Tamandua tetradactyla: one gene and its partner. The protein of the gene in region 1 interacts with the protein of each later gene in a pairwise test. Links are inferred from orthologs where the notes say so. Each region holds a gene or a part of one and is shown on either strand. Other genes may lie near its edges. The genes, in order: PRAM1 and SKAP1.

Region 1 (16,145 bases):
TACATGGTGTACAATGAATGGCTCACAATATCATCACATAGTAGTATATTCATCACCATGATCATTTTTCAGAACATTTGCATCACTCCAGAAAAAGAAAAAAGAAAAAACTCATACATACCATACCCCTTACCCCTCCCGCTCATTGACTACTAGTATTTCCATCTACCCAATATATTTTAACCTTTGTTCCCCCTATTTTTTTTCTATACCCCTTACCACTCCTTTTCATTGATCACTAGTATTTTAACCACTCCCTTTCATTGGTCACTAGTATTTCAAGCTACTCAATTTGTTTTAACATTTGTTCCCCCTATTATTTATTTTTAATCCATATTTTTTACTCATCTGTCCATACGTAGATAAAAGGAGCATCAGACACAGGAATAGCAAGTCTTTAACTGAATGAATGGTCACTAAAAAAAAGAAACAATTTTAAATCCACACAGCACAGAAGTGTGAAAAGTTAATATCTCTCACTTGATTAGAGAAGTTTTAAGATTACATGCGTACAATGTGACTGTGTGATTGTGAAATCCTTGTGTCTGATGCTCCTTTTTATCTACCTTATCAACAGATGAGTAAAACATAAGGAATAAAAATAAATAATAGGGGGAACAAATGTTAAATTTAGATTGAAATGCTAGTGATCAATGAAAGGGAGGGGAAAGAGGTATGGTATGTATGAATTTTTTTCTGTTGTCTTTTAATTTCTTTTTCTGAATTGATGCAAATGTTCTAAGAAATGATCATGATGATGAATACGCAACTATGTGATGACATTGTGAATTACTGATTATATATGTAGAACTGAATGATCATATGTTAAGAATGTTTGTGTTTGTTATATTTTTTAAAAAATTAATAAGTGAAAAAAAAGATCACGTGCATAAAATACAGTTCCCATATGCCACCCTATTATACCTTGCATTATTGTGGTATATTTGTTACAATTTATGAAATAACATTTTTATAATTCTACTGATAACTATCACCTATCATATACAACAGGGTTCACTGCTTGTGTTGTCCAGTGCTGCGCTTTCCTTTAATTTGATTTCCAGTAACAAATATACAACCTGAAATTTCTCCCTTTTAACCATATTCACATATATAATTCAGGATTTGTGTGTGTCCCTTTAATAATATTCCCTGCATATGAAAGCACATATGTATATCTTGTTTGACACAGATACGGTGCACATGAAATCTGTGCTAACCCAGAACTCAGCAAACGCTTCTTAAATGGTTGAATAATGTATTATAGAGATCTGAGATATAAGATCGACTTTGCTAACCCACCCCCAACAGCCCATCCTCAGGACAGCCAGTGTGCATGATGAGACGCTATACCTCCCATGCTAAAACTTTATCAGTGACGGGAATGGAAACCACACTCCACTCTGTCCACGGTACACAAGACCCTACGTGACCTGCCCTTTGCCTAGTTTCCTTTTTGACCCCCAAATCCCTCTCTGGTCCGGCAGTGCGCAGGTCTCCTCATTGTTCCTTGTAAAAGATAAGCTTGTCCCTCCCCCGCCAGGACGTTTGCGCCAGCTAACCTTACGAGGGCTACCAGTGACAGGGCATACCCAAGAGATGAAGGTGCCCATTTTGCAGACAAGGAGACTGAGGCCCGGAGAGGCTCCCCACCCGGGATCTCTGCGCACGGTCGGTCTTAAAGGTGCCTTTTGCGACTGCCCCCGGCTTGCAAGCTCGCGCCAGAACCCACGCTGCGATCCAAGAGGGGGTTGGTTCTCAGGCCCCTCCCCCTAGCGGAGTGCCCGATTAGGCCCCGCCCCACCCACCCGGTCCCGCTCCAACTCTCGCGAGAGCTAGTGGGCGGAAGATGGCGCCGACGTAAGGTCGCTCTCGCGCCGCCGAGAATCGCCACCACCGCCGCAGGAGCCACCGGAGCCGCCGGACAAAGAAGCCGAGCCGGGTCGAGGATGGTGAGCGCGGCGCCGGGGAACGTGGGCGTGGTGGAACAGCGTGGACTGGAGGGGAGTGGCTCCGTCTCGCGCGCACCCTGTAGTCGACCCCGCCCCCACATCCGGGCACTCTCCTGCTGCTGGCTGTCACTCGACGAGCACCCTACCCCTACTTCCGGGCCTGCTTCCACGCCCACAAGGCCCGAACTCCGCCCCCAAGCTTAACATCCGGTCACCCCAGCACCACCAAATTCGTCTGCGCATAACTTGAGCGCAAGCTGTGTGACACGTCCCCAGACGCTCCACTTGGCCACTCTGGTCCTGCCAGTATCTTGCTAGTCCCGCCCAGCCAGAGCCCCGCCCTCATCGCTCTTGCCATGCCTACTACCTCTAGGCCACGCCTCTGCTGCGTATGGCGCCCCCAGCAGCACAAGGAGGTGGGCGGGGAATACTTTCCTCATAGGGGTGATTAGCTCTCGCCAGGGGATAAGGACATAAGTGGTGCCCTCTCTTGATGGTAACTTCTTGCGTTGGGGGCTGGCTGGGTAATGTCTCAGGGGCAATGACTGTTTCTGGAAAGTTGAGCCCAGTGGTCTTGGCGGGGCGGTAGGGATTCTCTGAATAGTCCACACAGAGGGCTTCTTTCGCCTTCTTCCTTCTACCAGGAGGAGGAAACCGTGGGGCCCAGTCTGGACATGCCTGCCACTGCTGAGCCTAGCTCCAGTGACACTGAAAAGGAGGTGTTGTCCCCACTTGTGGCTGCAGCCGCCGCCGTCATCTCCTCCATAGGGGAGGAGACAGGCCTTGATCAGACAGCCACACCCCCAGCATGGGGACGTGGAGGACCTGGGGGGACCCAGCAAGGTGCCTCCCCAGTCCCAGACAGAAGCCAGCCTAGCCCTGGAGCCAGCCCTGGCAGCACAGTCTCCGTCACCATTGAGGACCTGCGGCCTCCCAGACGACGCCCACCACCAGGTGTCCTGCGATGGGACCTTCTGGGCTTGGGGGGTAGAGGTCACAGGCCCTGAGACAGTAGGAGTTAGGAATGCAGGATCTCTCCATACTTGGGGCCCATCCAGAGAGATGTGTATCACCATTTATCAAGCACAGCTGTATGCCAGGCTGGGGTACAGACATGGGTCAAGCCAACCCAGCCCCTGCCCACTGACAGCTCAGGTGCCTGCCGGGGAAGGCAGAGGGTAAAGGTCTCAATAGGCAATGAGCAGGGTAATTCCAGTCTCATCTGTGCCTGCTTGGGTCAAGTCCAGTGATGGGGGGGCGGGGGTCAGCATCAGCAGGGAAGAGATGGGTGACCCCCTTGTGCGTCCTGTAGGAAAGCAGGTACCCTGTTCCAGTCCTGGCTGCTGCCTCAGTTTCCCCAGCGTGCGTGATCTGGCACAGCACCTGCGCACCCACTGCCCACCCACACAGTCCCTGGAAGGTAGGGCCGGGGCAGGTATGGGGAGGAGATAGGGTGGGAGATATTAGGGTGGGGGGTAGGCAGAGGCGCAGGAGGGTCTGGGCCATCCCACCCACTGATTTGCCTTGCCTCTGGCCAGGTAAGCTCTTCCGCTGCTCTGCTCTGAGCTGCACGGAGACCTTCCCCAGCATGCAGGAGCTGGTGGCACACGGCAAGCTTCACTACAAGCCCAATCGCTACTTCAAGTGAGACCCTGATCCTCACCCCCGCCACCCCGCCCCACTGTTATGCCCCAGGCGGCTCCGCCCAACCCTGGTGTAACTAGCTACCGAGACTTGGGGGCTGGGGTGGGGTAGGTCCGGCGGTGGGTGAGGCCTCGGGCAAGCTCCGCCCTTACCTGCCTAGAAGAGACTTGCTTCCTGTGATTCGACCTGGTCTTTATTCTGGGAACCTAGTGCAGTGGCCGGGTGGGCGGAGCCCAGAAGTGGGGAGGCCATGCGTGGATGGAACCCCGCCCAATCCCGCTATTACCCCCAAGTGGAAAGTCTTAAATCAAGCTTGAGACGTTCTCATTTTCTCAGGGCTACAACCCAGAGGGTCCGGAAGGGTCACAGCCATAGTAGCGAGGGGCGATTAAGGCAAGACCCCCAAACCCTGCTCGGAGGTGGAGGAACTGCCACCTGGAAATTGGGTCCAGGTTCCCTTCCCACGCTTCCAAGGGAGGCCCCCAGGTGGCATCGGATAAACCCCCCCTTGTCGCCCAGGAAACTGAGCCCCACCCTGTGCCCTGTCTCCAGGTGTGAAAACTGCCTCCTGCGCTTCCGCACACATCGCTCGCTCTTCAAGCATCTGCATGTTTGCGCCGAGCATGCGCAGAGCCCAGCCCCGCCACCACCCCCTGCTCTGGACAAGGAGCCGCCAGCGCCCGAGCGCCCCCCGGAGTCCGACCCCTTGTCGGCGCCGAGCCTGCAGTTCCCGCTGCTCGAGCCCTTCACGACCCCCGCCCCTGCCCCTACGGGGCCTTTCCTGCCCTACTTGAACCCCACACCTTTCGGCCTAAGCCCCCCACGCCTGCGCCCCTTCCTGGCCGCCGCGCCTGGGCCGCCAGCCTCCAGTGCCGCTGTCTGGAAAAAGAGCCAAGGTGAGTGCGGGGACGGGCCGCCTGGAGGCGCGGGGGCAGGAGCGCGCCCACCTACTCCTCCCAACTCTAACCTCTGACTTTGATCCGTCCTTTTCACTTCAGGTGCTGGGGGCAGCCCCAGAAGACCCCAGGGCGGTTCCGAGGTGCCCTCAGGTGCGTGCAGGTGACCAGCAGGGAGGGATGGAGGGGCTCTGACGTGCCTGGCTGGGCCTTGGTGTATGCTGCGAGGTTGGCAGGGCCCGCGCCTTTGCCAGATGACCGGGAATGCCCCCGAAATACAGGATTTAAAAATTCCCGACACCTGCGCTTTCCTCCTCGCCGACTTTTCTGCATAAAACGCGCGCCCGGTTCAGCTCGGAGCCGTTCTTTCCCGCTTCAGTGAAACCGGGGATGGGGGGGGGGGGCGCGCGAATAAGCTAGGCTTGGCACCCCCTAGTCCCAGTAGTAAACAGCCAGAGATTCGGATCCAGCCAGGCCAGCCCCGGCGCCGAGGAGCTGGCAGGGGGAGGTCTGCCTCGCCCAAGTCCACCATCCTCCCGGGTAGATGGGTCCTCCGGGTTGGGGTCCCTGAAATGACGGGTCCCGCCTGCCCACAGGGCACGCGGCCCCAAGCCGCATCGTGTGGGAACACACGCGCGGCCGCTATTCGTGCATGCAGTGCGCCTTCTCCACGGCCTCGCGCCCTGCAATGACGCTACACCTGGAGGACCACCGCCCCACCGCCCTTGTGGCTCCAGCGCCTGGGCCGCCGCGCCCTGAAGCCCCGGCGGGTAAGGTCCTGGACCCCGCGGGTGGGGAGGACATGAGGGCTGCAGCGCCAAGCGCCGCTGAGACCCAGGCACCCCCTCTTCTGCCCCATCCAGACCCAGCCTCGCTCGCACCCATGGTATCGCCACCGCCGCTGCTGTCCGAGGGAGAGTGTCCAGTTTTCTCGCCACTCTGAACAGGGCCGCATGGATGGGGGTAGGGGGGGACAGTGAAAGGAGAGACGTCATGGTTTGTGGGCAATTTTGTAATTTGAGGGGGGCTGAGGAGATGAGGGAGGGGGGCACAATAAAGGAGCTGATGAGCAGGGCTGTGCCATGTTTGGGTCCCTTGCCTTTGCAGTCTTCACCCACACAGTGGGCCACGGTGTAGCAGTCCTGGGGAGCTCATGGCTTGGGAGAGAGCTCCTCGAGGCCATTCTGTGGGTACAGCTGCATCCTCACAGCCCACCTGTGTTGCACCTCAGCACTGGAGCCCAGGTCTCCAAGTCCCATGCCACCCGCTTCATCTGGGCCACTGTCTTGCCCTATGATTTCCAGAAACCAGATAGGATGGAATTTCCAGTTTTTTTTTTTTTTTTAATTCCACGACTCAGGAGGATATGGTAGGCGGCTGGTGCTGAGAAAGTGCTGGGGTTGGCCCAGGCTGCAGCTCCCCATATCCTAAGGCCAGTGCAGACTCCTAAGGAAGGGAGAATCCTTTGCTGGGGTCAGGCTGGATGGGGTTCAGGCCTGGTCTTCCTGCTGCTCACATCCTCCACGCCCTTGTCCCCTGCTGCCTTCTTCTGTGTTCCCCCACTGGCCCAGCTCTGAGGAGGGAGAAGGGAAGGGGTCAGGCCAGTCCTGGGGAGCCTTGGCTCCCTCCTTCCCCCTCCCCAATCTGTCCTCTTTCCAGTCATGAAAGCCAAGCCAAGATGACATGAAATCTGGTGCCACACTGCTGCCCTAGCCCTGCTTCAGCAGAACCCAGCTGGCCATGGCTCCTGAGCATGGAAGTCCTGTGTACCTGCTGGATGGTGGTTTTACCTCTGCCTCTATCTTGTTCCCATCCATCCCCTTCTCACCAGCCCCCATGGCCCCCCAGCCTGGGCCTGAACTCCCCCTCTTCAGGTACCCACAGCTACCCCTCATGCCCTTCTCCAGCCTGAGAGCCCCTGGAAACACAGGGGTCTCTTCTGTAAAGGATAAATCCAGTTGCACCCCTCCCCTGTCTTGTACCATCCATTGGCTCCCCGTGGCCCTCCAAATGAAGACACGGATCTAGTAGACCACAAGGCCCCTGGTTGAGTCTCCTCACCCACCCACTCCCAGGACCACACTAACCATCTCCTTCTATGTCCTCTTCATCTCATCCTCCTAAGGAGCAGAGACACCCCTGAGCAAGGACCTGAGCACCTCCCCAGCCTCTCCCCACCTCATCCAATCCCTTTCCTTTCCCCTGACCTCATTTTCTGAGGCCTCCTGAGTTGTCTATTCTTGTCTTCAGCTTCTGTGTCTATAGCTAACAAGACACCTGTCATCCCTGGGCTGGATCCGCAGCCCCACCCTTCCAAACTCTTCTTGTCTGCCCCTTACCGTACTGCCTGTCCTCTGCTAATGTGTCAGCCTCAGCCTCAGAGTTGGGCACCTCACAGTCCCCAGCATCGAAGCCAACCAGGTAGACGAGCAGGGGCAGCAGCTGCAGCATTACCTCGCGGTTGAACAGGTCCAGGCTCCACAGGCCCCTCCATTTCTGTGAGGAGCAGGACAGGGGATCCAGGTGCCCTTAGGACATGGCCTACCTGGTCATGGGGGCTGCCTGCCATCCCGCTCCACTCTGAAGGCCTCACCCAGGCCTTCAGGGCTGTGATAGCTGCCTCTGAGATTCAGGTGTGTCAGGCCAGGTGTCCATTCTGCCCACACCACCAGGTCCCTTCTAAAGCAGTTGTCACTCAACCCCAGCTTTGGGGCTGAATGGGCCATAAGACCTTCTGATTCTGAGCTCCTGCCTTCTCAGCCAGAGGCTTTGGAGCCATGACTGTGCTACCTTGAGGAAGATCAACCCTCCCTAGTCCTGAAAACTTGGTCCTTGTAAGGGTTAAAAAAGGGGGGTGGTGTCTGGGAGAGACGGAGAGGGGTTGGGATATGTCTGCTGAGTTAGTTAGCCACATCCCTCACTCACCCAACCAACCCATCCTGCCTGGGATCCTCCCAAGAACTGGGAGAGGAAGGGAAACAGGCTCAAGGGCCCATTTGACCAATGGGGTGAGGCCAGAAGGGGAAATTAACTAAGTAAGCCCTGACCAGCCAGGTCCACTTCCATGTCAGGCAAAACTCACCCACTGGGCACCACCCCAGAAGCTGGGCACATGTAGCCCTGCTGACTCTCAGGCAGAAAGGCCTGTGGGGCTCCTTCCCCTCTCCCGGACTCCCACGGGCCTGGGATTTTTGTTCCCCCGGTTCTAGCCCCAGGTTCTTCGTCATCTCCAGGGGATGGGCTCTGTGTTTCTTGTGCACCAGGCCTCCAACCCTGATCCCTGCATCAGGCCCCTCTTTCAGGCACCCAAAAATCCGGGTAATGCTACTTCCCAAATAACCTGTCTGTGCCTTTCCAGGGAGACCCAGAGTCAACACCTTGGTCCAGGACCCTCCCCTGCACCTGTGTACACAGAGCTGCCCTTCCCTCGGGACTATGAGTTCCCAGCTCCCCACTGCCCTTGGAGCCAGCTGGAACTCTGCCTTGGGAGCTGGGTCATGACCTGGACTCCAGCAACCACCCCATCCACTCCAAAAACTACATCCAACCTTCACCCCATCCTCACTCACTCCTGCCTTTGTATGCTTCTATGGGAAGCCTTCCTTTCCTGACCCCAGCACTCCCTTCTGGGCTCCTGCAGCCCTTGCCCTTCCTCTGGCCAAGCCATGACCCTATGGAGAGACACATCCCACCACCAACTCCAGGATGTCCCAAAGGCTGAGTCCAGGAAGGGGCGCCCTGGAGAACATGAATGAGAGGCGAGTGCAGTCCCGATCCCTGCATACACCAACCTGCTCCATGCATGGGAAGGCTGGCCAGAGAAGCAGGTTCATGTTGATTCGTGTGCCTCACTGAGCAGGTGTCCAGGACCAGCTCCGTCACCTGTGGGTGGTGGCTCGGTTACCTTCACCCCGGGCTGGAAGGGAGAAGGTGGAAGCTACTGGGCACACATCCCCAGACCCCGCTCCTGAACTTGGTCCGACCTCCACCCACCCCCACTAGCCTCAAGCCCAGCAGGTGCTGGGGCTCCTGCGCGGGGATCTGTCATGCCGGCTTCAGCTCTTATGCACAGTGGACCTTCTCACACCGAGGGCTCAGATCCCAGGCACCCCAATACCCAGACCCCTCCCCAGCCCGCAGAGTTCCGAACCCATGCCCCACACAACCTCCACTTCCCAAGGCAGAGCTCAGCCTGCGCTCACTTTTCTGGACTTCCGGGAACACAGCTCCAAATGGAGCCGCTTGTTCTTGCGGGAACTGCTGTCCACACAAAGAGGAGGTGAGGGGGAGCCTGCGCAGCCACCCCCACCTGCTGGGGCCCCTGCAGGCAACACAGGGACTTGCCCCAGGGAGTCCTGTCTGGAAGCAGGGAGTGGGCCTTGAGGGACGCCATCCCTATGAGTTTGGAGCTGGAAATGCCCAGGAGTGGCTGGGCTGGGAGCCTGGGAAGTCGCCAGCTATCATTCTGTCCCCCAGCTTACCTTCACTGAGCACCTAATGTATGCTCTCAACTACTAATTGCTTGTTCTTTCATTCATTCCCTCTCTCACCAAACACTATATGCTGTCCTCTTATGATCAGCCTGTGCTAGCTGGTGCGACAGATCCCAAGAGGGCCCAGACTTCGTCTTCCCTGCCTTCATGGGTCACCCCATGCAGTGCAGAGGCTCCAGAATCCCGAAGCTGTGCTTTTAAAGCAGATTTCCAAGCAAAAAGGCACATTTGTTTTCCCTTCTGCAGAGCAAGCAGTTGAAGGGCTCCTGCTCAGAATGCAAGTTCCTCAAGACAACCAACCCACCTTCCCTGCCTCCATGTTTAAATAAGCTCAAGAAAGCCCTTGCTGGGAGGCACCCCACCCCCACCCCAGCACTCTTGGGCCCGGGAGTCAGAGTTGTGCTGGGCTGTTTGGATGCAGTGTTCACAATCACATGCTGAAATGCCCTTAGCATCCACGACTCCTCAACTGCTGCCCAAGCCGAAAAGAAAAGGCTTTGTAAAGAGGCTTGTGCTTGGAATACCGTATCTCTGATTAAAAAGGCAACGACTTCAAAATACAAGGAGACAAAAAAGAAAGCCAGCCTCCATTCTCTAATAGTACTGGTCTTAATCACTGCCATCACTTCTTTGCTGACCTCCCACTCTGTCTCAGTTTTCCTCCCAATCTTCTTGTCTTTTGGAGTGATGGGGTGTCCTCAGAAACCCCTCCCCAGGGTCAGGAATTTGACACCACCCACCCACCACCGAGTCTGCCAGCCCTCTGTCCCGCGTGCCAGCCCTGCCCCGCTGCGGCTGGCTCATCTGCTGAGGGGCCTCACAGGCAGTTCCTATAACAGGGAAGTCCAGCTCAGATCTGGGAATTGGCCCACGGGGAAGTGTTGAAATGAGGCAGGCAGATGAAGCAAGAAGGGCAAACAGATGGGGCCTCCCCATCAGACCCCCCCCCCCCCCTTGGATCTCCCAGCCTCCCCAGCGGCCTCCCAAGCCCCAGCTCTGACCAGGTCCTTTCGGAGGTCCCCCTTGGGGGGCAGGAAGCCATCACGTCTGGCATCCAGTTCTCCCTGCCATCCCCAAATCCAGGACAAGCAGGGTATGGGGAGGGGGATAGCAGACAGTCAAGAAACTTGCGACTCAGTTGAGGCCCGAAGCTCAGGGTCAGTAGCAAGTGGGACGGGAGCTCAAGGGGGTTAGAAGCAACCAGCAGTATCTGGCAACTGGCTAGGGCAGTCCCCACCCCCTTTCCTTCCTCCTCTGCCCGCCCCACTCCACCGGCAGCCCCCACCCTGTGTGCTGGCCGGTGAAGCAGAAGCCACAGTTAACTTCCTGAAGACAGCAGACTCAGCTTGGGTCCCACTCACCCCATCGCCCATCACCTACTTGCAGCCATGGTGAGTGAGTCCCCAAGTTCCCAATCCCTAGGAGATCTCTGCACCTGCCAGAGGTAAGGGGTGGAGCACATGGAAATTGGATTGTCCAAGACAGGACAGGCAAAAGAGAACTGGGAACGAAGTTCAGCAAACAGGGATGCCTCATGAAAAGGCCCAGAGGCACGGAGCAGTGGAGACACCCGCCCCGCCCCCTCCCCCAGGACAGCTCGGGTTCCAAAGGGCCTATGGTCCAGATGGGACAGTCTGAAGCCACTCCCCTGCCCCCAGGCCAACATGAACTGATAGCAGGCAGATAAGCTTCCTCTGTGGAGTCAAAGTGGGTCAGGCTCCCACCACCCCCACCTGCCCTTCCCCAGGGTCATGACCCACTGACCGTGACTTATCTGACTGTATGGTCACCTCAGAGTCCTTGCCTTGACCCACCCAGTAGGGAAGTAGCCTTAAAAGGCAGTCTTTCCAAGGGGTGACCCTAATCCATCCTCTGGATGGGGAAAAATGCACAGAGGAGCAAAGGCCTGGTGGGTCCTTCCGGCACATTTCTGTCCTCTTCCCCCTAACTCGCTGACCCCAGGCGAAGCCACGTGTGGGAGAACTTGTAGGTCAGAGAGGACCTGGCCTACTTGTGCATCTGCCTGTCTCTTGGCATCCATGATCAAGCTCACGGGGCTGGTTGCGAGGGTGCCTGGGACATACATACTCAGTGTACCACAGTTGATGCCTATGTGTCAGTCTGTCTACCAGTATGTGTGCGCATGTGCATGTGCGTGTAAAAGAAACAGTGTGTGGAGTGCTGAGAAGAGGGAATTGATTTAAAGTAGGGTAACTGAGGATGGCACATCTAATAAGGACATTTGGAGCAGAGAGATGAAGGAGGAAGAGGAGAGAAGCACAAGGTGGGGAAGTTATGTCCCAGGAGAGAGGAAGGTCAAGTGCAGAGACCCTGAGATGGGATGGGGAAGTGCTCAAATGTTCAAAGACCAACAAGGAGGCAGGAGGGGGAACTGAGATTGGGGTTGGGAGAGACCTTTATGAAATCTGGGCTTTTACTGCGGGGAGATGAGGACCCCTTGCAGGATTCTGAGCAGAGGCACGAACCAACTAGGGGCTTCCTCTGGCTGCTGTGGGGGGGACTGAGCAGGGATGGTGAGAGGGAGGGTGGGAGCCAGGGGCTAGGAGACCGGGAAGGATGCTGTTAGGATGATCCTGGGATGATGGCAGTGGCCGAGGTGAGAAGCGGTTGGATTCCAAATAAAGTTAGAAGGGGTTGGGGATTTAGGGTGCAGAAGAATGAGGCAGTCAGGGGAGCTCAGAGGTTATCCGACAAAAGGAAGGACTGAGGGAGCAGCAGTGTTGGGAGGCATATGGGTAGCTCAGCACCGATGGAGAGGTTGGGATGTATTGGACACCAGAGTGGGGAGGGTAGGGGAAACTGGGGGGATGTAGTTTACAGGAGCCTGGAGATGAAACTGTGGGAAACCTCAGCCAAAAGCGATGAGGCCAAGGTCAGGGAAGAGGAGCAAGTCTAAGGGTGGATGTGTGTGTGCACACGCATGTATATTCCCACATCTGCCTCTCAGTGACCCTCGATGTACAGGAGTCCCAGCCTGACTAGCTCCCTGTCCTGCAGGAGAGCCATCAGGGCTTCCGGAGCCTCCAAGCAAAGTTCCAGGCCTCTCAGCCCGAGTCCAGTGAACCCCCCAGGAAATCTCTAAAGCCCGAGTTCAACAAACTCCCAAAGAAGTTTCCACAGCCTGAGTCAAGCGAGCACCCCAGGAAACTCTCACCACCTGAGTTTGGTGCAGTCCCCAAGAAACCCTTGCAGCCCGAGTTTGGTGCCTTCCCCAGGAAGCCCCTGCAATCTGAGTTCACTGATCTTCCCAGGAAGCCCTCCAAACCCGACTCCCGTGAACTCTCCAAGAAGTTCCCACAGTTTGAGGCCAGTCCATTTCCCAAGAAACCCCCACAGCCCGAGTTTAGTGAGGTTCCTCAGAAGCCCCCAGAGCCCAGCACGTTTCCCCAGAAGCCCCCACAGCCGGAGTCCAGCACATTTCCCCATAAGCCCCCACAGCCGGAGCCCAGCACATTTCCCCATAAGCCCCCACAGCCGGAGCCCAGCACATTTCTCCAGAAGCCCCCACAGCCGGAGCCCAGCATACTTCCCCAGAAGCCCCCACAGCCGGAGCCCAGCACACTTCCCCAGAAGCCCCCACAGCCGGAGCCCAGCACATTTCCCCAGAAGCCCCCACAGCCGGAGCCCAGCACATTTCCCCAGAAGCCCCCACAGCCGGAGCCCAGCACATTTCCCCAGAAGCCCCCACAGCCGGAGCCCAGCACATTTCCCCAGAAGCCCCCACAGCCGGAGCCCAGCACATTTCCCCAGAAGCCCCCACAGCTGGAGCTCAACGACTCCACCAGACCACCCACAGAACCTAAGTTCAGTCCATTCCCCAGGAAGTTCCGGCTGCCTGAGGCCAGCGAAGCCACTCCAAAGCCCTCACTGCCTGACTTTAGTACTTTTCCCAAGAAGCCCCCACAGCCTGAGATCAATGAGCCTCCCAGAAAGCCCCCTAAGAAGTCCCTGACACAGCCCAACTCCTGTGAGGTCCCCTCAATGCCCTCGAAGCCCGAGTCCACTGAGCTCCACCCCCCATCCTCAAAACCCGGGTTCAGTGCATTTCCCAAAAAGGTCCTACAGCCTCACCAGAGTGACTTCCCCAAGAGGCTCCTGCAGCCCGAGTTCGGTGACCTTACCAGGACATCCTCAGAGCCTGAGTTCAGTGTATTTCCCAAGAGGTCCCAACAGCTTGAGTTCAAACCACTCCTTCACAAGAAGCCCCCACAGCCCGAGCCAAGTACCCTCCCCAGGACATCCTCAGAGCCCATGTTTAACATACTTCCTGGGAAGTTCCCACAGCCCGAGGGCCGAGGGCCACCCCGCAAGTTCTCACAGCCTGAGGCCAATGCACTGGCCAAGAAACGTCTGCAGGCTGAGTTCTTTGGTGATGTCCCCAGAAAGCCCCTACTCCCTGGTTCAGTTTCTGAGAGCTCCCTGCCCGCTGCTATCAAGGGCTCCGGTCCCAGGTTCCCGCTCAGCCCTGGTCCTGGAGTCCCTGGGATGTCCCACTCATTTGGGCGACGGAGTTTAGGGGCCCTTGCTCACAGTGGAGGGTCCAGGTTGGGCCTCAAATCCAGCTACCCACCCCGGCGGAGGCCTCTGCCCCCTGCCAGCAGTCTGGGACCCCCTCCAGCCAAGCCCCCGCTGCCCCCAGGCCTTGCAGATGTCAAGAGCTTTCGGAGACCCTTGGTGGCAGCTGCAGGTGAGTCAGGGTAGCACAGACCAAAGAGGGAGGTGGGGCTCCCTGGCGGTGCCTGCCTCCCTCTCTCCTGCTCTTCTCTCCAACAGCTCTCCAGAGGACTCGCTCTTCTGCTGGGACCATATTCCAGGCCCGACAATCAGAAGACATCCCGCAGTGAGTGTGGGAGAGAAAGGCGGACAGGCCCAGGCAGCGGGGCTGGAAGAGGCCTCATCTCTGTCTCCTTTCAGGGATCCAGATGAGATCTATGAGCTCTATGATGACGTGGAGCCCACAGATGATACAAGACCCAGTCCCAAGAGCACAGGTTTGTTGGGTACAGGGCCTGGGGCACCTCCTTGTGGCCCACAGCCAGACCCAGCCTGCCCCAGGCACCTGTGAAACATTCTCCCTGGCTCCTGGTGTAATGCCAAGCAACCATTCATCTCCCTGACAGCATCTGGGGAGAAAGCAGCAGGGGAGGGAGCCTATTAGAAAGGCCATGCCAGTTCCTGGTGGGAGGAACGGGTTTGGAAGGGGAGCCCAGAACCAACAGTCAGTGGGAAGGCTCTTGTTAGACTATGGTTTGGCACAGAGTGATTTGGCAGAATTCAGGGAGAACTGTGGAAGAATCCTGAGGTAAAAAGCCACTAGCAAGACTTGGAGTGGATTTAGGCAGGAGGGAGCTATCCTCCTTATCCATGTGGATAAGCCCCAAGTTTTGAACCTAACACTTGTGGATACAGGGGGGAACCAACTCTGAGCTGGGAACACAAGAGAAAAGAGCAGTGTGCAGGAGAAAAATGCCCGGTTCCATGTGTAGAACAGTTATGTTCAGGGGCCTGAGGAATGTCTCCCACTCTTCCAGTCTGTGGCCCCAAGTTCCAGGTCACCAAGTTGCTCTCTCCCTCTGCCCAGCCCCCTATGAAGACCTGCTTTCCTGAGCCATAGTCTCTGCTGGGTCTCCCAAGGGCCCTCCTCTTCCTTGTCCTGAGTCTCTGTCCTGGTGGGGACCACTTTACATGCCTGTTGCCATATTGGCACCACCACCTAGACACATCTTACAGATCATCTCCATTTTACAGAGGCGGGAGCTTGAGGAACTGAGAAGTGTCTTGAGCAAGCTCACATGGCCAGGAAACAGCACAGCTGAAACTCAAGCTGCTCCTAGATTCACTCTTGCCCCCATTCCCCCTCCTGCCCTTTGTCCTTCATATGAGTTTTCCCTCAGCCTTTGGAATACTACCACTCTCCCCACACTGACCCCAAAGGTCCTGATACAGAAAAGGAACTCAGCTGCCTCCTTAGTTCTAAGGCTCCTTCCTGGGCCCCTTGTGCTTCTCTGGGGCCTTTCCCCAGGAGCTTTGCAACACCTTCCAGTTAGCACATAGCCTAAGATGGGCCTCCAGGCAGGGCTCCCTTTCTCCTTCCGCTTTGGAGGAGGCTCTGTGGCTTAGTCTGGGGACCGATCTTGGAGATGTAGGACTATGGAGAAGGGAACAGTTCCAAAAGTCCCAGCCTTCTCCTGGACACTCTAGTTCCTGCAACCCTGGAGGCTCAGTAGGCCCACCCCCTACTGAGATTAGGAACAGCTCATCCCCACCTCTCCTCCACCTCTCCAGAACAGGCAGAGCAGGCCACCAGAAGGCAGAATGTAAATGGCCTACTTGGGATCACACTGCCACAACAGGGCCATAACTGCACCACAGTGCCAAGGGACACTTTCTTTCCTGCAGCTGATTTGAAGCACCAGGGGCCCAGGAAGCAGTCTTAGAATTAAAAGAGGCAGCCAGGTTCTTTCTCTGTACCAGACCTCTGGAGTGCAGGAGTTGGTCTGCTCCTGGTTGTGTGACTCCCATGGCTGGGGCAGCCTCTGAAAGTGGTGGGAGCAGTGGGAGGAACAGCATTCTGGGTGAGGCCAAGTATCCTGCTTAAGGCCTCGAGGGGCAGAAGAGCGTAGCATAGACACCAAGCATATTACAGCCCATGCGGGCACTGAACAAAATCTTCCAGGACAAAGACTGAGTCCAGAAGTTGGAATGTGATCCTGGATTGAGGCAAATAAGTTAGATTTCTGTCCTCCGTGTTTTTTCTCCGACTTGGGCCAAAGGACTGGATATCAATCTTGGTTTTCAAGACCCACTACTGGCAGGCTTATTTGTGACCTTGAATGCTGTGGAGAGGTGGGGAGCAGGTGCTGCAGCGGCTCCATTGGGTTGACTTAGCCAATGCAAGGGTGAATTGCAGTGAAAAGTCTCAAAGGTGGGAATAGCAGAAACTGGTTCTTGGATGACTTCAGGGTCTCTATAGTGTTCCAAGTCCAGGCTTTGCTAACAGACATTCAGAATGTCTAGCACCATGGTTTGGGACGATAAGAGCAAATTGACCAGTGAAGTTTCTAGGTGGCAGGTGGGTAGAAGAGGTCCAATATTCCCAAGCCTCGCAACTTCAAAGGGCAGCAACTCCCATCTTGCCT
Region 2 (15,855 bases), on another chromosome or scaffold:
ATAGGGCAGTACAAAGAAAGTGGGGTGTTTGCAGAATGAGCAGGTGGCGATGCAATTCAATGCTGCAGAGAGGGTGGGGATGGTGGTGAAGACTGAGAATAGTTAGAAGGAAGTTACTGATGCCCTTGAGAAAAGAGACTTCAATGGGAAAGGCAGGCTAAAAGACCAAGGAGATAGGATGTGAGATTTGAAGGGGGAAGTTAATGGAAAGAAGAAATGATGAGTGATGGAAGAAAGTATAGTTGAGTTGAAGAAATTTGTATGTATGTATGCATGTTTGCATGTATTACAGGGCAGACCAAAAATGTTTCGTGAGGGAAAGATTGAAAATGAAAAAGAATGTGAGACTAAAGGTCTAAAAGGTGATAGGAGAGCCAGGATCATGAATTCTAGTGGAGGGATGAGCCCTGTAGAGGAGGATGGACAATTCTTCCTTTACAATAGAAAAGTGAAGCCTGAAAAACACTGCAATATAGAATAAGAGCACAGGCATACCTTGAAGATATTGTGAGTTTGGTTCCAGACCATTGCAATAAACTGAATACTGCAACACAGTGAGTCACAAGAATTTATTTGGTTTAACTTATGTTTACATGATACTGTTATCTATTGTGTACAATAGCATTATGTCTTAAAAAGACAATGTACATGTTGCAGTGTGCTTAGAAATTTATTGCATTTTTGTATATGTTATTTTTCTCAATAAAAAAGACAACACACATACCTTAATTGAAAATACTTTAATGCATGCTGACCATCATCTGAGCCTTTAGTAGGCTGTAGATGAGCTGTCATCTTTTTGCTGGTGGAGGGTTTTGCCTCCATGTTGATGGCTGCTGACTGATCAGGGTGGTGGTTGCTGAAAGTGGTGGCAATTTCTTAAAAAAATACAACAGTGAAGTTTGCCACATTGATTGACTCTTCCTTTCATGAGAGATTTCTCTGTAGTATGTGATGCTGTTTTTTTTTTTTGTTTGTTTGTTTATTTATTTATTTTTTTTACATGGGCAGGCACTGGAAATGTGATGCTGTTTGATAGCATTTTACCCTCCATAAAATGACTTTCAAAATTGAAGGAAACTAATTTTATGTAACATTCTAAATCCTTTGTTGTCATTTCAACAGTGTTAACAGCATCTTCACCAGGAATAGAAACTGTGTTCTTTGCTCATCCCTAAGAAACAACTTCTCTTCTGTTAAAGTTTCATCATGAGATTGTAGCAATTCAGTCACATCATCATGCTCCAGTTGTAATTCTAGTTTCTTGCTATTTCCACCATATCTGCAGTTACTTCCTCTACTGAAGTCTTGAACCCCTCAGAGTCATTCCTGAGAGTTAGAATCAACTTCACCTAAATTCTTGTTAATGTTGATATTTTGAGCTCCTCCGACGAATTATGAATTATGATTCATGAATCCCTATTAATGGGGTCTGGAATGGTGAATCCTTTCCAGAAAATTTTCGATTTACTTTGCCTAGATCCATCAGAGGAATCACTATCTATGTCAGCTATAGCCTTCCAAAACATACTTCTTAAATAAAAAGACTTGAAAGTTGAAATTACTCCTTGATCCATGGGCTACAGAATGGATATTTTTAGGTCAGCATGCATTAAAGTATTTTCAATTAAGTTATGTGCGTTGTCTTTTTTCATTGTGAAAAATAACTTATATACAAAAATGCAATAAATTTCTACGCACACTGCAACATGTACATTAATCTCACCACTCATCTCTATCAAAGGTCTTGGGTGACTAAGTATATTGTCAGTGAGCGGTATTATTTTCAAAGGAATCTGTTTCAACAATGGGCTTTAAATATTCAGTAAATCATGTTGTAAACAAATGTGCCATCATCCAGGATTTGTAGTTCCATTTGTAGCGCACAGGCAATATAGATTTAGCAAAATTCTTAAGGGCCCTAGGATTTTCAGAATGGTAAATGAGCATTTGCTTAAAGTCACCAGCTGCATTAGCCCATAACAAGAGCTTCAGCCTGTCCTTTGGTACTCTGAAGCCAGGCATTGTTTTTTCCTCTTTAGCTACGAAAGTCCCACATCCTCTTCCAATAGAAGGCTGATTTGTCTACATTGAAAATCTGTTGTTTAGTATAGCCATCTTCATCAATTATCTTAGCTAGGTCTTCTGGATAACTTGCCACAGCTTCTACATCAGTACCTGCCGCTTCTCCTTGTGCTTTTGTTATGGAGATTCTTTCTTTCCTTAAACCTCATGAACCAATCTCTGTGTGGTAGTTTGAAGTTACAAAGTATCCCAGAAAAGTCCATGTTCTTTTCATCCATTCCTATGGGTGCAGATCTATGGTAGGAGGGAACTTTTGATTAAGTTATTTCTATTGAGATGGGACTTACCTCATGTAAGGTGGGTCTGAATCCTCTGACTGGAGTCCTTTATAAGAGGACAAAACACATACAGAAACTGAGAGATGGAATTCAAAGAAGTACCCAGAGAAGCTGAAAGAGGGAGCAGCCAGAAGCTGAAAGCAATGAAACCCAGAGAAGGATCAGTAGACGCCGACCATGCACCTTCCCATGTGACAGAGGTGTCCCAGATGCCAGCAGCCTATCATCCTACTGATGACTTAAGTTGGACATTTTCATGGCCTAAGAACTGTTAATCGTAAGTTAATAAATCCCATTGTAAAAGCCAACACACTGGGTGGGCCACGGTGGCTCAGCAGGTAGGAATGCTTCCTTGCGATGCCAGAGGACCTGGGTTCGATTCCCGGTGCCTGCCCATGTACAAAAAAAAAAAAAAGCCAACACATTTCTGGTATATTGCATTTTGGCAGCTTTAGCAAACCAAACACTTTGCTAGTTTCCGACTTTTCTTCTGCTGCTTCCTCACCTCTTTCAGCCTTCATAGCACTGAAGATTGTTAAGGCCTTTCTCTAGATTAGACTTTGGCTCCAGGGAATGTTGTGACTGGTTTGATTGTCTATCCAGACCACTGAAACTTTCCCCCTATCAGCAATAAGGATCTTTCATTTTCTTAGTATTTGCATGTTCCCTGGAGTAGCATTTTTAATTTCCTTCAAGAACTTTTCCTTTGCATTCACAACTTGGTTAACTACTGTTTGGAGCAAGAGGCCTATCTTGGCTTTTGACATGCCTTCCTCACTAAACTTAATCATTTCTTGCTTTTGATTTAAAGTGAAAGAGCAGTAACTCTTCTTTTCATTTGAACACTTAGAGGCCATTGCAGGGTTATTAAGTGGACAAATATCAATACTGTTGTGTCTCAGGAATAGAGATAGGTAACAGAGGGTAGAGAAGTTAAAACACTCACAATATTTATCAATGATGTTCATAATCTCATATGAGTGTGGTTCGTGGCACTCCCAAACAATTAAAATTGTAACAAAGATCACTGATCACTATAATAGATATAATAATAATAATGAAAATGTTTGAAATATTCTGAGAATTACTAAAATGTGACACAGAGACATGAGGTGAGCACATGCTCTTGGAAAAATGATGCTGATGGACTTGCTAGATGCAGGGTTGCCATAAACCTTCAATTTGTAAAAAAAAAAAAAAGACAATATCCTCGAAGTGCAATAAAGCAAAGTGCAATAAAATGAGGTATGCCTGTACTGTCTTGTATGTGAAAGAAAGCATGGTTTACACGGTTACAAAATGTTGCTGAAAGGAGAGGCCAAGGATGTTTAGGAATAGATATTTTAGAAAGAAAAAAACAAAATGGACATTAACACAATTCAGAAGGCAAGGAAAGAATGTATTTTGGTGACCTAAACGTCATTACATAGGACGTCCACAGACTACCAGGCCTCATTTTTTAATCCATGTTCTCACAGTGAAGTAATCAACCATTGCTCGTTTGATCTCTGATTCCAGCTAGTGTTTCTGTTTGGATTTGTGAATGCTGGTGATTCTTGTCAGAGTATTTTTCATTTTCCCTTAGTGTGAGCATTCCTTCAAAGCATGTGTGCAGTGCAAGCCAGAGCTTCCTACCAAATTGTAAATAATCTCCCCACCTACCCCCCACCTTGAATTCTAAGGTCTTTGATAAAGTGAGGGACAAAAAAGGATAGAAAGAAAGGAGGTGGTCAAGGAAGCTTAAACTTTACCTTCTTTATTTTTTATACAATATGTTCTCGTTATCTTCTGTTCAAAATTTAATTATGGCAACATATATACAACATTAAATTTCCCATTTTAACCACTTTCAAGTATACAATTCAGTGGAATTTTTTACCTTTTTGGAAAGAAACCAAATAAACCCAGTTTAACCTAAGAGAAATAATTTAAAAAATTGCTGTCCCTCTATTATTTTGTTTTAATACCTTTAATCTACACCCTTGCCCCCCAAAAGAAACTCCATTACAGTTTCCAAAAGTTAACATGTTTGCAAATATCTACCATAAAATTGGCCCTAGCACCACCTGTCTCCCCATGCAGTTTAACCATATAGCGGACCTCCAGGTTCGCTCAGAGAGCACGCTGTGTCATTTGGCTGCAGTTGACACATTCCAAGTTCCCATTGCTTCCCCTCCCCCCATTCCCAAGAGAACCAATCAAAGACAGAGAATGTCACCGTCAGCAACCTCTGTGGTCCTTAGGGCCATTGTGGGGTTCATCGGTGCCCATGGGGAATGTTTAATGTGGTCTAAGGGATAGGCAAAAATGATACTAAAAAAAAAGTGATTGGGGAATATAGAGGAAAAATAATAAGGGGAGTAATAGAAAGATATGATAAAGTACAAACAAAGAAATGTTATTTAGGAGGAAGAGGATCAACAATGATTGTTTCACACAACTGCTCGGCCATCCCCAGGCTGTAATTATCCAGCCCAGGAACTGCTAAGTTCATCAAGAGCTTTGGACAAACACAAGAGACTCAGGACTCTAAGGCCAGTACATTCCCTGTGAGCTGTGTGGTCCTGGACAGGGTGTGGGCTTGTTCTTCGTCTTAAATTTGATTACCTTGAAGATTCTTTTGAGTTTTCATAGCCCTCGTTCTGTCCGGAGGCTCTGCCTTATCGATAGCTTGCTTATGGGAATGTTCCCTGTTCTGATATGAGACCCTGCTTATTTTGTTGCCTGTATTAGCACAGAGAATCTAGAAGTGTGAGTGGAAAGGGGTGACCACCGCAGTGCATCTGTGTGTGTGTGTTTAATAGGACTTTCCTGTGTTTAATGGTTACCTGATTGGTAAGAGTAAGGTCTCTGGATGCTGTAGAAATACCACATTTTAAGGGCACTGAAGTGATGGACCCAAGGTAGCATCTTGTGCTCATCTCCTGGGCCTCAGAAGTGGCAGGAGCCTCGGTTTCTGGAGCCCTGCAAAGCATGTGGTGAGCCTGATCTTGGCATCTACAGGACAGGATGCATCATCTCTCCTTCCACAGCCCTTAATGAAGTGTGCAGCTCTTGTCCTCATTAGGTCTCAGCATTGTCAATAAAAGAGTCAATAAACTCGGTTGATGGGGTTGGGACTGAGAGGCTGAGATGCAGCGGCTGCACATCCACAGGGCAGACGTCAGCTCCGCTGCGTGTCATGACCCAGCATCCAGGGATCAATAACCAGCTCAGAATAAAGCCTGAGAGTCTGCCCTCCACAGTCTCCTCTTCAGATCCATTTTACCCAGGGCAGAAGAGTGCCAGCCGGCTCCTGCTTTGCTTGCAGTTGTTCTTATACTATGCCATTCTGGGTGCCAGATGCTTTTGTTTCTTCCTGATTGATCCCTCTGGATGCCCCACGGATGCATATTTAGTGAGTGCCCACCTGGCATGAGAATATGCAGCCGGCATTCTCCAGCAGCTTAGAGAGCAGCATAGACTGTGTTTTCTCTGTCTTCTGTCTGCTGACAGTGTGAGGCCCTTGTTGACAAGGCGGTATATTGTCTGCATGTCCTGCTGCCGGACTTCATTCCTGGCTGCTCTGCATCTCTTTAGATATCCTTATCTTATCTAATTACAAGGAATTTTAGATTAATTTCATGGCCTTTGCTCTAAAGGACCTCTTATCAGTGAGGGTCTTGTATTTTAACCTTGCCATTCTTTTGTTGTTTGCTTTTAAGGGGCAGGCAGCTAGGAAGGGTCTGGTAAGAACGTGCTGGAATTGGGGCTAAAGCAAGGGAAAAAAGAACGAGGCAGACAGACCTGGGATTTGTGTATTCTGCTCCATCCTCCTGCCAGTATGCAGAGACAGCTGGCTGCTTACTTCCATGACAGCCACATGGTACCCAGCCACACAGAACAGGACCTGGACAGGGACGCGTCTGCTGCCAACCTCTCCAGATCCCTTTGATATTTCTGACAAAGCAGTAAAGGACTCTTGACTATCACGTTTTGCCTTGCTTCCCCTTACCTCCTCTAAGACTCTTCGGTGTGGTTTCCATGGCTACTCCAAATCAGATCTGGCTTCCTGCAAAATTGGATTTCAAAGAAGGACAAGGCTTCAAAGGAATTTGTCCATTTAACAGAATGTCATTAGGAATGAGGCTGACCGCTGAACCAGGTTCTCAGATGATTAAGGAGGGGCTGCGCTCATGTGCGGAGGCAGGTTTCTGTCTGCAATGAGGAACCTTGATGCAACATGACAATACCGTATTGGAATCTGCCAGTCACCCACCACACATTACCCAACCTGCACCTCCCTCCACCTCCATCTCCTAAAACCCAGAAATTCCTGCGGGGAAGAATGGATGTAAAATACCTATGTTGCAAATTCTGCTGTTTCACTTGCTTTAGTAAGCTATGACAGGCAGTGAGTGAAACCTGTGAGGATGTACAATTACCTGGGTGTATTGCTCCTTACCAAATAACTTATCAGCTTGTAGCCTATATTAGCACATGACACAATATCCTTGCAGAATGGGGTTTGTCAAAGTTTCTTCCATCCCTGAGAGGGAAACAAGGCAAAGTGCTGGGCTTACATATGGGAGGAACTTTGTTTCCCTTGCTGTTTTTTTTTTAGAAATAAACTTTATAATTTAGAACAGTTGTAGATTTGCAAAAAAAATTATGACAACAATACAGAGCTCTCATTACCTTTCTTTGCCTAAGTACTAAAAAAGTAACTACAATTTTATGGAAGGAGCAGCGGGGCAGCTGAAACTGCCTCAGGAGGTACCTGGTACTGCTCAGAAGCCTGGAGAATGCCAGTCTGTCCATTGCTACACTTTTCTGCGGCAGGAAGGAGCCAGCTTCTGCTCCCAACCTCTCCGTTGTGGTAGCAGTGCAGGCCTATAATCCTGAAACCAAGGTACTCTTTCTCTTCAAATCTCAGGAGGCAGACAGTAAAGATGGCTCAACCCCACTGCACACTTTAAAAGACTAAGCCCCCAACCTTAAGGCTGTATCTCAGCCAGGGGAAAGTAGGCTAGCGGGGCCTGCACTGCTACCATGTGTCCTTAAGGATGGTTTCTCCTTGTTGTTTCCTTCAACACCTCCCTGAGTCAGTCTTTATTCCCCCTGAGGCTATTGTAAAACCACTTCATCCCTCTTCCTGTTGTCCTTTCTCTTACTGTCCCCCATCCTTCCCACACACTGTGTGGGTCGAGTCTGAGAATAGAAACCCCATTTAACAAAGAAGGAAAACCACAGAGGTGCAGAGATGTATGTGAGGTCACATGCTACACAAGGGTTCTATTTAGGTCTCTCCGCAGCTCAAAAATTGTCAATGGCTCCCCAGTGCCCATTCAATTGAGTCCAAAATCCCGATTCTGATATTCAAGGTCCTTCACAATAGAGCTTCAAATTATCTTAACAACCCTAGTTTCCCAACACTAGCTACTAGCTGCTGCCTGAAAGGAAGGCTTTCTCATCTTCGTTTTTTCTGGCCCTTCCACCTGGACAGCCCTCCTGACCCTTCAAAATTCCGTATGTTGTTCAGAGCCCACCTCAAATGTCACATGTACCTGCATTTTCTCCTTTTCTTACATCTGTCTTCTTTTATCTCCCATGGCACCTTGCATCTTTCTCAAGGTGCTTGGCCTACTGTACTTTTTTTTTTTTTTAAAGTAAACTCTTTGTTTTCAGATAATTGTAGATTCACATACAGTTTTAAGAAATAATGCACAGCGAGGAAGACCCTGTGCTCCTTCACCTGGTTTCCCCCAGTAGTAACATCTTTCAATACCACGGTGTGATATCGCAACCAGGATATTGATGCCTATTGTACTTTGAGAGAACACTGTTCTCTGTAATCTTGTCACTCTCCTCCCCGTATTAGATCTTGGAGGAGAAGGGCCCTCTACCCTTCTCCCTCAGCTTCCCCCAGGCCACCCCTTCCATTCCCTGCATCTTTCAGCCTTAAGGAGGAAGGGACACTCGGATGACTCCCTGTTCCGCTCCAACTTCTATTCTCCCAAATGCTGGTGGCTTTGTAGTATTTATTGGGATTTAAGGTCATTTTCCTTAAGCATGGGAGCTTTGCCTGAGAGAGGGAAAGTTTTGTCCTAGTTTCCCGGGCATGGACGTTGTGGACGGGATCGGGGGTTGAACGGTGCTACGCTTGACTCGGACTAAACTCTCCTTCAGATTCTTCCTCCTCCTCACCCTATTTTGGGCCCCACGGTTGCTTTTAATCCTCTCACCTTGAGACCAACCGTCCGGTGCTTAGGATGGAGAGTCTCAGAGACAGGGTTCCTTTGACCAAAGCCTTTGTTTCGGCGGGGGCCTGGAGCGGTCACCCTTTGGCTTTGCCTGGCGCGGGGCTCCCAGCTCTGCCCACCGCCCCATTTCCCTCCACCTGCGGGCCTCAGGGCACCGCCCACCGCCCCATTTCCCTCCACCTGCGGGCCTCAGGGCACCGCCCACCCCCGGGCTGCGCCCGCGGCTCCCCAGGCTCCGCCCCGGGCCGGCGCCCCGCCCTGCGGCTGGGCGAGCGGAGGCAGCCGCCGAGCGGCGGCGCCAGGGGTGCAGGTGCTGCCCCGCGCTCCCCCCGCCGCCCGCCCGCGCCTCAGCGCACGGCCTTCGCGCGCCCGCTCCCGCCTCACCCTCGGGCCTCCTTACCGCCCCCGCGCAATGCAGGCCGCCGCCACCCTCCCCGAGGACATCCGTTGGCTCCTGGAAGGTAACGCCCTGGCTCAGCCCCGGCCTCTCCCTCGACCCCCCGCGAAGCCCACAGGCGCTGACCTGAAGGGAGGAGAGGAGGCATCGGGGCTTCCAAGGCCACGCTCTCTGGGCCGCGCCATCACTCACCTCTTTCTAGAACATTCAAGGCTTTTAGAGTTCTCAACTCCCCAGGACCGGGCTCTCATCCTCTCACCTCAGAGTCTCTCTCTCTCTGGTTCTCTCTAGTCTCACTCTCTCTCACACACACGCACCACTGAACCTCCCAGGATTCAGGCCAGATTCTTAGTCCCCCATGCCACCTTGCCTCGTCTTCCACTTGTCTCTTCTCCCTCAAGTCTCCGCCCTGCACCTGTAGGCTTTCGCCCCCCTCACCCTTCCTCCCAGTACTTCTTCACCTCTCCCAGAGGACCCTCATCTTCTTGGTTAGAGGCCCCGAGCCTCCCCAGAGGGACTGTGAGGAGTTTATGGGGATCCTCTGCTGGCCAAGGCTTCGTGGTTAGTGCGAGGTTTGGGCAGCGCTGAAACCACAGGCTCCATCTCCAGCCTGCAGCCCTCTAAGGGTCTCATTATCAAACCAGGGCCAACTAATATTCCCTATTCACTATTGCATTTCTTCCTTTTCTAGTGTCCAACCATCATTTAAAAATTAAGGCCATGCTAACACTCAGCACATACTTCTTTCCAGCACCCAGAAGAGACTCTTCGCTGTATACAATATGGTATCTCAGTTGACACTTTTCATGGTGAAAGTAATTTTTACTTGCTTTCCTGTAATTGACCTTCTAGGAAGAACAGAGGCCTGGAATCTGCCCTTGCATAGGAATCCCAGGAGGAAACTATTCAAAATTAAGCCTTTTGGCATCTAAGAGACATATTTGACACATATTTAACAGATGGCCTGCTTTGGGAGGTCATACTTTTGGCAAGCAGCTATTTTTCAGTTTCCCTCAATTTAATTGGTTTTATATCTCCATTACCTTGTTATCTTGGTATAAATGCCTCCTAATCAAATATTTGGCAAGTCTGGATTTGTAGCACTCTTTCCATCCTGTATTGCTTCTATGTAAAAACTGTCAACTAGGGTCTTTTTTGTGGGTGTGTGTGGAAATTTTGGATTTCCAAAATCCATTTTAATTATGATTTGAATGAATCTAAACTTTAGGAGTAGAAAACTAGTTGCAGGGTAAAAGAAGTGTCAGTCCAGCCTTTTCCCTCTTGCTGTTGGGTTGCCTGTTGGCTCAATATTAGACTGTAACATGAGGCTCTAAGTGTCTTTTGGTTTTCAGGAGAGAAGAAACTGTGGTAAAAAAGTTTAATTCTGTCTTTGCATTTAAAGATATAACGTGATTCTTTCTATTGGCATCTTGCATTTGAGAGGAAACCTGTTTTACAAGCTTGTTAAGCTATACTTCATTTTTGTGTGTATACTTGGTAGAAAGTTTCTTTTTATTTCAGAGCCTTGCAATGAAATTCACTCTTTTAACATTTTTGCTGTGTAGTCCTTTATTGTTCAAAACTGACACTTTGGTAAACAACTCATTCCTACACCTGCCACCTTCCTTTAACTTGGATTATTTTCTTGTTAGCTGACTTTTTAATTGAAGTCTTCAGATCTCCTTCTAAAGTAGAACCTTTGTTTGCTGACAAGTAGAGCAGGGTATGAATGGAGATTAATTGCATGTCACATACTTCTATATCAAACTTGCTGCATCTTAACAATCTCGGTTGGTGCGCAGGTCTTTGGAATTTATGAGGAGTCTGAGGTTAAATTTTAAGGAGCTTAATTGGTTAATGTATTTTTTTTTAAGTTTGCAATTAAGAGCCTGAATCTGAAGTAGAGAAAAAAATGTAAAGTGGGATTCAATCAGTAATTCTATTTCAGTGTTTGAAGAATATGCTTTTGAAAGGCTCGTGTAAAAATAGCAATTTATTGGTTATAGGTTTTATTTTTATGGAACACAATCTCTGGTTTCTGTCAGCAGAATAATTCACTGTATTATGAATAATTTGTGGATACTAGAAACTCAAAATGGCTATCAGTTTATTGCCTGTTGCTGTTTACTGTCTCTCCCTCCCTTTTTAAGGTTAACTGTTGACAATTAGAAAATATGTAGGTCCTGATCTCTAGTCACTCAGTTGGAGGGAGTAACAGGATGTAAGAGCTGCAATTTTAGAGCTGCCGCATGGCCTTGGGGGGTGGAGTTTCCATGATGACTTACTACTTTCACAAACCAAGGCATAAGTGTTAGCACACTGATTTAATGCTGACCATCAAAGCCATAACACAGGCATTTATTTATTTATAACTACATGGGCATAAATGACAGGAGCATGCTTTTCACATAACATGTGCTTTTAAAAATAAAATATGCAAAACATTGTGAAAGGTTAATGCTGAAATTTTGCATAATAAAGAAGAGAAAACAAATTCTGAAGGTTTAAAACTAATTTAGCTTAAGGATAAAATGTTAAACAATTAAAAATGCTTCATTTGACTCAGAAATTCCACTTCTAGGAAACTGCATTACTGAAATTAAAGTACATGAAGTATGTGCACAAGGATCTCTCTTGAATATCCTTGAGTTGGGAAAGGATGAGGCGATGGTTGAATAAATCATGGAACATCCAGAATATGGAAAACTTTGCAGCCATGAAGAATGTGTGATGTATCTCTATATATTAACTTGGGAAATGGCCAGGGCATGTTTCTTTTTTCTTTTCATGGCATGTTAAGACTAAAAAGCATGGTGCATAATAGTACGTTTAATATCCTATTTTTGTTTGAAACAAAACAAAACTAAAACTCCTATATATTATATGTTTCTGTAAGTCTCAGAAGAAGTAGGAACAATATACTCCAAAATGTTAATTTTAGCTTCGTTGGGAGGTAAGTGAAAGGGTGGATAAGGCAGAGATTATTAATTTTTATTTCATATATCTTCACATTGTTTGAATTGTGACAATAATTATGATTTTTTGTAACCAGCCAAAAACAACTAGTAAGGTTATTATTATTATTATTTTTAAAGCAAACCAACAAAAAGGCAGATAGAAGCTAAGAGTGTACAGAATGCTAAAGGCCCTCTGACCATACTTGGGATTACGTTTTTCTCTTGTTAACCCTGGAGATGGGTAGACGGTAGGGAATTAAAAAACAAGAAAAAATACTTCATTGGAATTTTGGCAAATACAAAAGCCGGAGAGGCTTCTAGAACAGCTCAGGAAACAGCTTCCTCAGATAGACTCTGTCATTCTCTCATATAGAAATAGTAACTAGCTCCATATCAGCAAATAAGTACCTTATAGATAAGTAAATTGAAGCAGCCTTTTCCTAATTGAAAGAGAAGGAAGTATTCAGGTCTTTGCCAAGTAAGTGTTCTCCTTCAGATGTAGAAGTTATCTTTTTGTTTTTTTGTTTTGTGATAATTGGGCTGAAAACAAAAGCGTGAAGTGCTGCCAGTTTGCATCATCTTTGTTCCTCAGATAGAAATATAATCAGTTTCTTCCTTGTCTTTTTAGCCTCATTTTTTGAAGTCAGAAACAGAAGAGGCAAATAATGAAGGAGGTGGAATAAACTTTTTCCCGGGTCACAGTTTTTCCAGTGTGATGGAATGGGGCTGGTTGACTTTACCCCATTAGCTAATAGACTTCAACCACCTACGTGGTAACTAAATCCTCTTGGGATATGGATTTAAGCCAAAATAGCATCTATAACCTGGCTGCATTTAGTAGTAGTCACTGAGTTAATGCTGATTCTGATATGCCTGTGGTTACTTATTTTTAAACTTCTATGGAAAGAAGCAACCATGAATCATTTCCTTCCAGTTGTTATCCAGATTTGTATTGGTTGATGCAGCCAACCATGAAATCCTTTTCAATATAGTAAAGCAACAACTATATGGAATTTGTAGGCCTGAGTTTCTCTGGTTGGTTGAGGATTTTCTCTTCAAGCACTCTGACTTTTAAATTTAAACATTTGTGATCTCTTTTTTCTCTGAAATGCATCAAGAACTTTCATAACTTCAGTGGACCAGTCTGTATTCAAATGGACCTCCTTTCAATGTATTTTTTTTAAAAACTCAGAGTTGCTTTTATCATGTTCTATGGAGATATATTGAATTGTTTAGGGATGTTTTTGTCATAATTTCCCGTGGACTGCTTTTTGAGTTTTTTTTTTTGTTTTAACTTTTTAATTTTTAAGTTTATCATTTTTCCTGCTGTTTGGCTGAAACCTATCACTCTGCACTGCTGTCAGTGTGTCTACATCCCTAATGTCACTGGACATCAGAAAGCAAGCTTGTTGGAATTAAGATCAGCATGAAAGAAGAGTATGAAATACTTTCTTAATAAACAGAGTACCCAGGCTTGGTGCATGGGTTTTGTGATATGTATTTTGCCTGCTCAGAGTTTATTTTGCTTTATTTCTTAAACCGGGTTGGCTCTCACATAGATTAGGTTATTGGTCATTTGAATTCTGAAAGGTGAGCCAGGACCAAATTATAATTTTTTATAATTATAAAAGCAATAATGCTCAATGTAGAAAGTTTAGAAAACAATAATATACAATCACCCATTGTCAACTACTGTTAAATGCCTTGTCTTTCTTTCACTCTTTATTATATGTACATACTTTAAAAGTTGGGACATATTGTGCATAATAATTTTGTATATTGATTTTCCACTTAATATTTTCTACCTGCTGTTGTCTCTGGAGCATTTTCTTAGAAATTAATTTTTTTCTTTGAATGATTTAAAAGTTAGACATCCTGTTTTTATTCCACTGGTGGTTTACCTCTTAGGATTTCCGAAGTATTGAACCATTTTCCTCTGGTTAGCAACATTAAGAATGAAATGGTACAGGACTTAGAAACAGTGTAAGATAATGGGTAATTGGAGCTGAAGGGATACAGGCTGTGCAACAGGACTAGATACAAAAACTCAAAAATGGACAGCACGATAATACCTAATTGTAAAGTAATCATGTTAAAACACTGAATGAAGCTGCATCTGAGCTATAGGTTTTTTTTTTTTTTTTTACTATTATTATTACTTTTATTTTTTTCTCTATATTAACATTCTATATCTTTTTCTGTTGTGTTGCTAGTTCTTCTAAACCGATGCAAATGTACTAAGAAACAATGATCATGCATCTATGTGATGATGTTAAGAATTACTGATTGCATATGTAGAATGGTATGATTTCTAAATGTTGGGTTAATTTCTTTTTTTCCGTTAATTAATTAAAAAAAAAAGAATGAAATGGTGCTTTTTGGCTCCTTCCTCCAGTGTATAATGTGAAACTGTTGATATAATTTGAGATATTTGGATCCAGAGAGTCACTTATGTTTTTAGTCTGTGTATTAGATTTTAAGAATGATTTTTGATTTTATTATATTTTTAAACCATAGCAATACTAATATTTTTTTCTGTTTAATCTGCTCATCGCTTACTTTTTTCTGACCATGGCTTTTTCATTCTTATAAATAATATCTCTTAGATATCTAGGCTGCGCTGTTCAATTCACTACCCATCAGCTACTTGTGGCTTCTTAAATTAATGATAAATAAATTTGAAAATTTATAGAGTTTATATGAAGAATAAAGGAATGAATATTTGAAAAGAACTTAGAACAATATTTGGCATGAATCAAACACCTTATGTATTTTTGGCAAATACAATTAAAAATGATTTAAAAAAAATTTTGAGATAGTCCTATTGGCCTCTGTTTCTTAACTGTTCTCCATAGGAAAACTCTCTGCCATGGCCTTTTTCATATTAGTGGTCTATCCTTGTTTCTCGAAATTAGTTGAGGCTTGTAGGGGGTTCTTTCAGAGTCTCTTCCATTTTCTTCCTTTCTCAGATCAGAGTCCAGTGATCATTTCCAAGAGAAACTGTATGGTGGATGGAGGGAGGAAGTTACCTTTACTGCTTTTTTCATCACATAGCCTGTAGTTCTTTGAATTTTCTATACTTTTGTAGATTCTTCCAACATATAATTTTTATAATCTGATGTTTCAGTTGAAATTTTGTTTTGTAACAAAGGGATTCTCTGGAGAGTCAGGTTACTTGAAACTTTTCCAAGTCTGTTTGGGTATGACTGAGCATGTTTCAGGAAAGTATGTGTTCTTACCTTGTTATGGAGTGCTTTTGTGTATGTAGGTGTGAAAAAAAAAGTATTTTTATGTTATTCTTAATCAAAAGAAAACTGGAGATTTACTCTCTCCCTTCTCCCATTTTGTTTGCTAAAATGAAAAGAAAAGTATAAAAATATTTGAGCTCCATTGTGGGTATAAACTAGATGACAGGAGGGTTTCCCACACCTCTTGAACTTTAAGATCTATTCCTTGTGGAAGTCCACAGTGGTCCTCAAGATCCAGCTACTTCTCAAGGAGTGTACATTCTCAAGGTCACCTTTCCTTCCAGGATTCCCTGCTTCTACATATGCTCCTTGTCCTTGGTTATGTAGGCTTAGACCAGTGGTTCTCAACGAGGGTGATTTTGTGCCCCAGGGGACTTTTGGCACTGTCTGGAGATTTTTTTGGTTGTTACAACTGGATGGAGGCCAGGAATGCTGGTCATTGATGCACAGGACAGCCCCACCACAACAAAGGATTATTCAGCCCAAAATGTCAATAGTGCTGAGGTTGAGGAACCCTGGTCTAGACCTACCATCTTCATTAGCTTCCACCAAACTCTAGCCACATGAAGTCCTTGTGAATGTAGAAGATGGGAGATTCAGGGGGTGCAGGGAGAGGAGGAGGAGTTTGCATTGTAGTAATGTACACAA

What was found.
Region 2: the proteins of PRAM1 (region 1) and SKAP1 interact in binary tests that used the Homo sapiens proteins (3 or more experiments, as listed by UniProt). The two-hybrid records come from large-scale screens. The link is inferred for Tamandua tetradactyla from reciprocal best matches to the Homo sapiens genes PRAM1 and SKAP1.

What each region holds. Positions count from the first base shown.
Region 1 is NC_135337.1:84,923,876-84,940,020, reverse strand, and holds the start of PRAM1 (PML-RARA-regulated adapter molecule 1), read left to right. Parts: upstream 1-10,191; 5' UTR 10,192-10,373; coding exon 10,374-10,376; exon of another isoform or gene 10,377-12,003; coding exon 12,004-13,693; exon of another isoform or gene 13,694-13,779; coding exon 13,780-13,846; exon of another isoform or gene 13,847-13,920; coding exon 13,921-13,997; exon of another isoform or gene 13,998-16,145. Other genes in the region: ZNF414 (zinc finger protein 414), read left to right, coding at 1,950-1,952, 2,597-2,906, 3,265-3,372, 3,491-3,596, 4,149-4,492, 4,595-4,645, 5,089-5,262, 5,356-5,435; acidic leucine-rich nuclear phosphoprotein 32 family member B-like, read right to left, coding at 5,983-6,065, 6,832-6,988, 8,284-8,325. UniProt on the Homo sapiens protein: May be involved in myeloid differentiation. May be involved in integrin signaling in neutrophils. Binds to PtdIns(4)P.
Region 2 is NC_135332.1:29,697,635-29,713,489, reverse strand, and holds the start of SKAP1 (src kinase-associated phosphoprotein 1), read left to right. Parts: upstream 1-8,936; 5' UTR 8,937-9,017; coding exon 9,018-9,066; intron 9,067-15,855. UniProt on the Homo sapiens protein: Positively regulates T-cell receptor signaling by enhancing the MAP kinase pathway. Required for optimal conjugation between T-cells and antigen-presenting cells by promoting the clustering of integrin ITGAL on the surface of T-cells.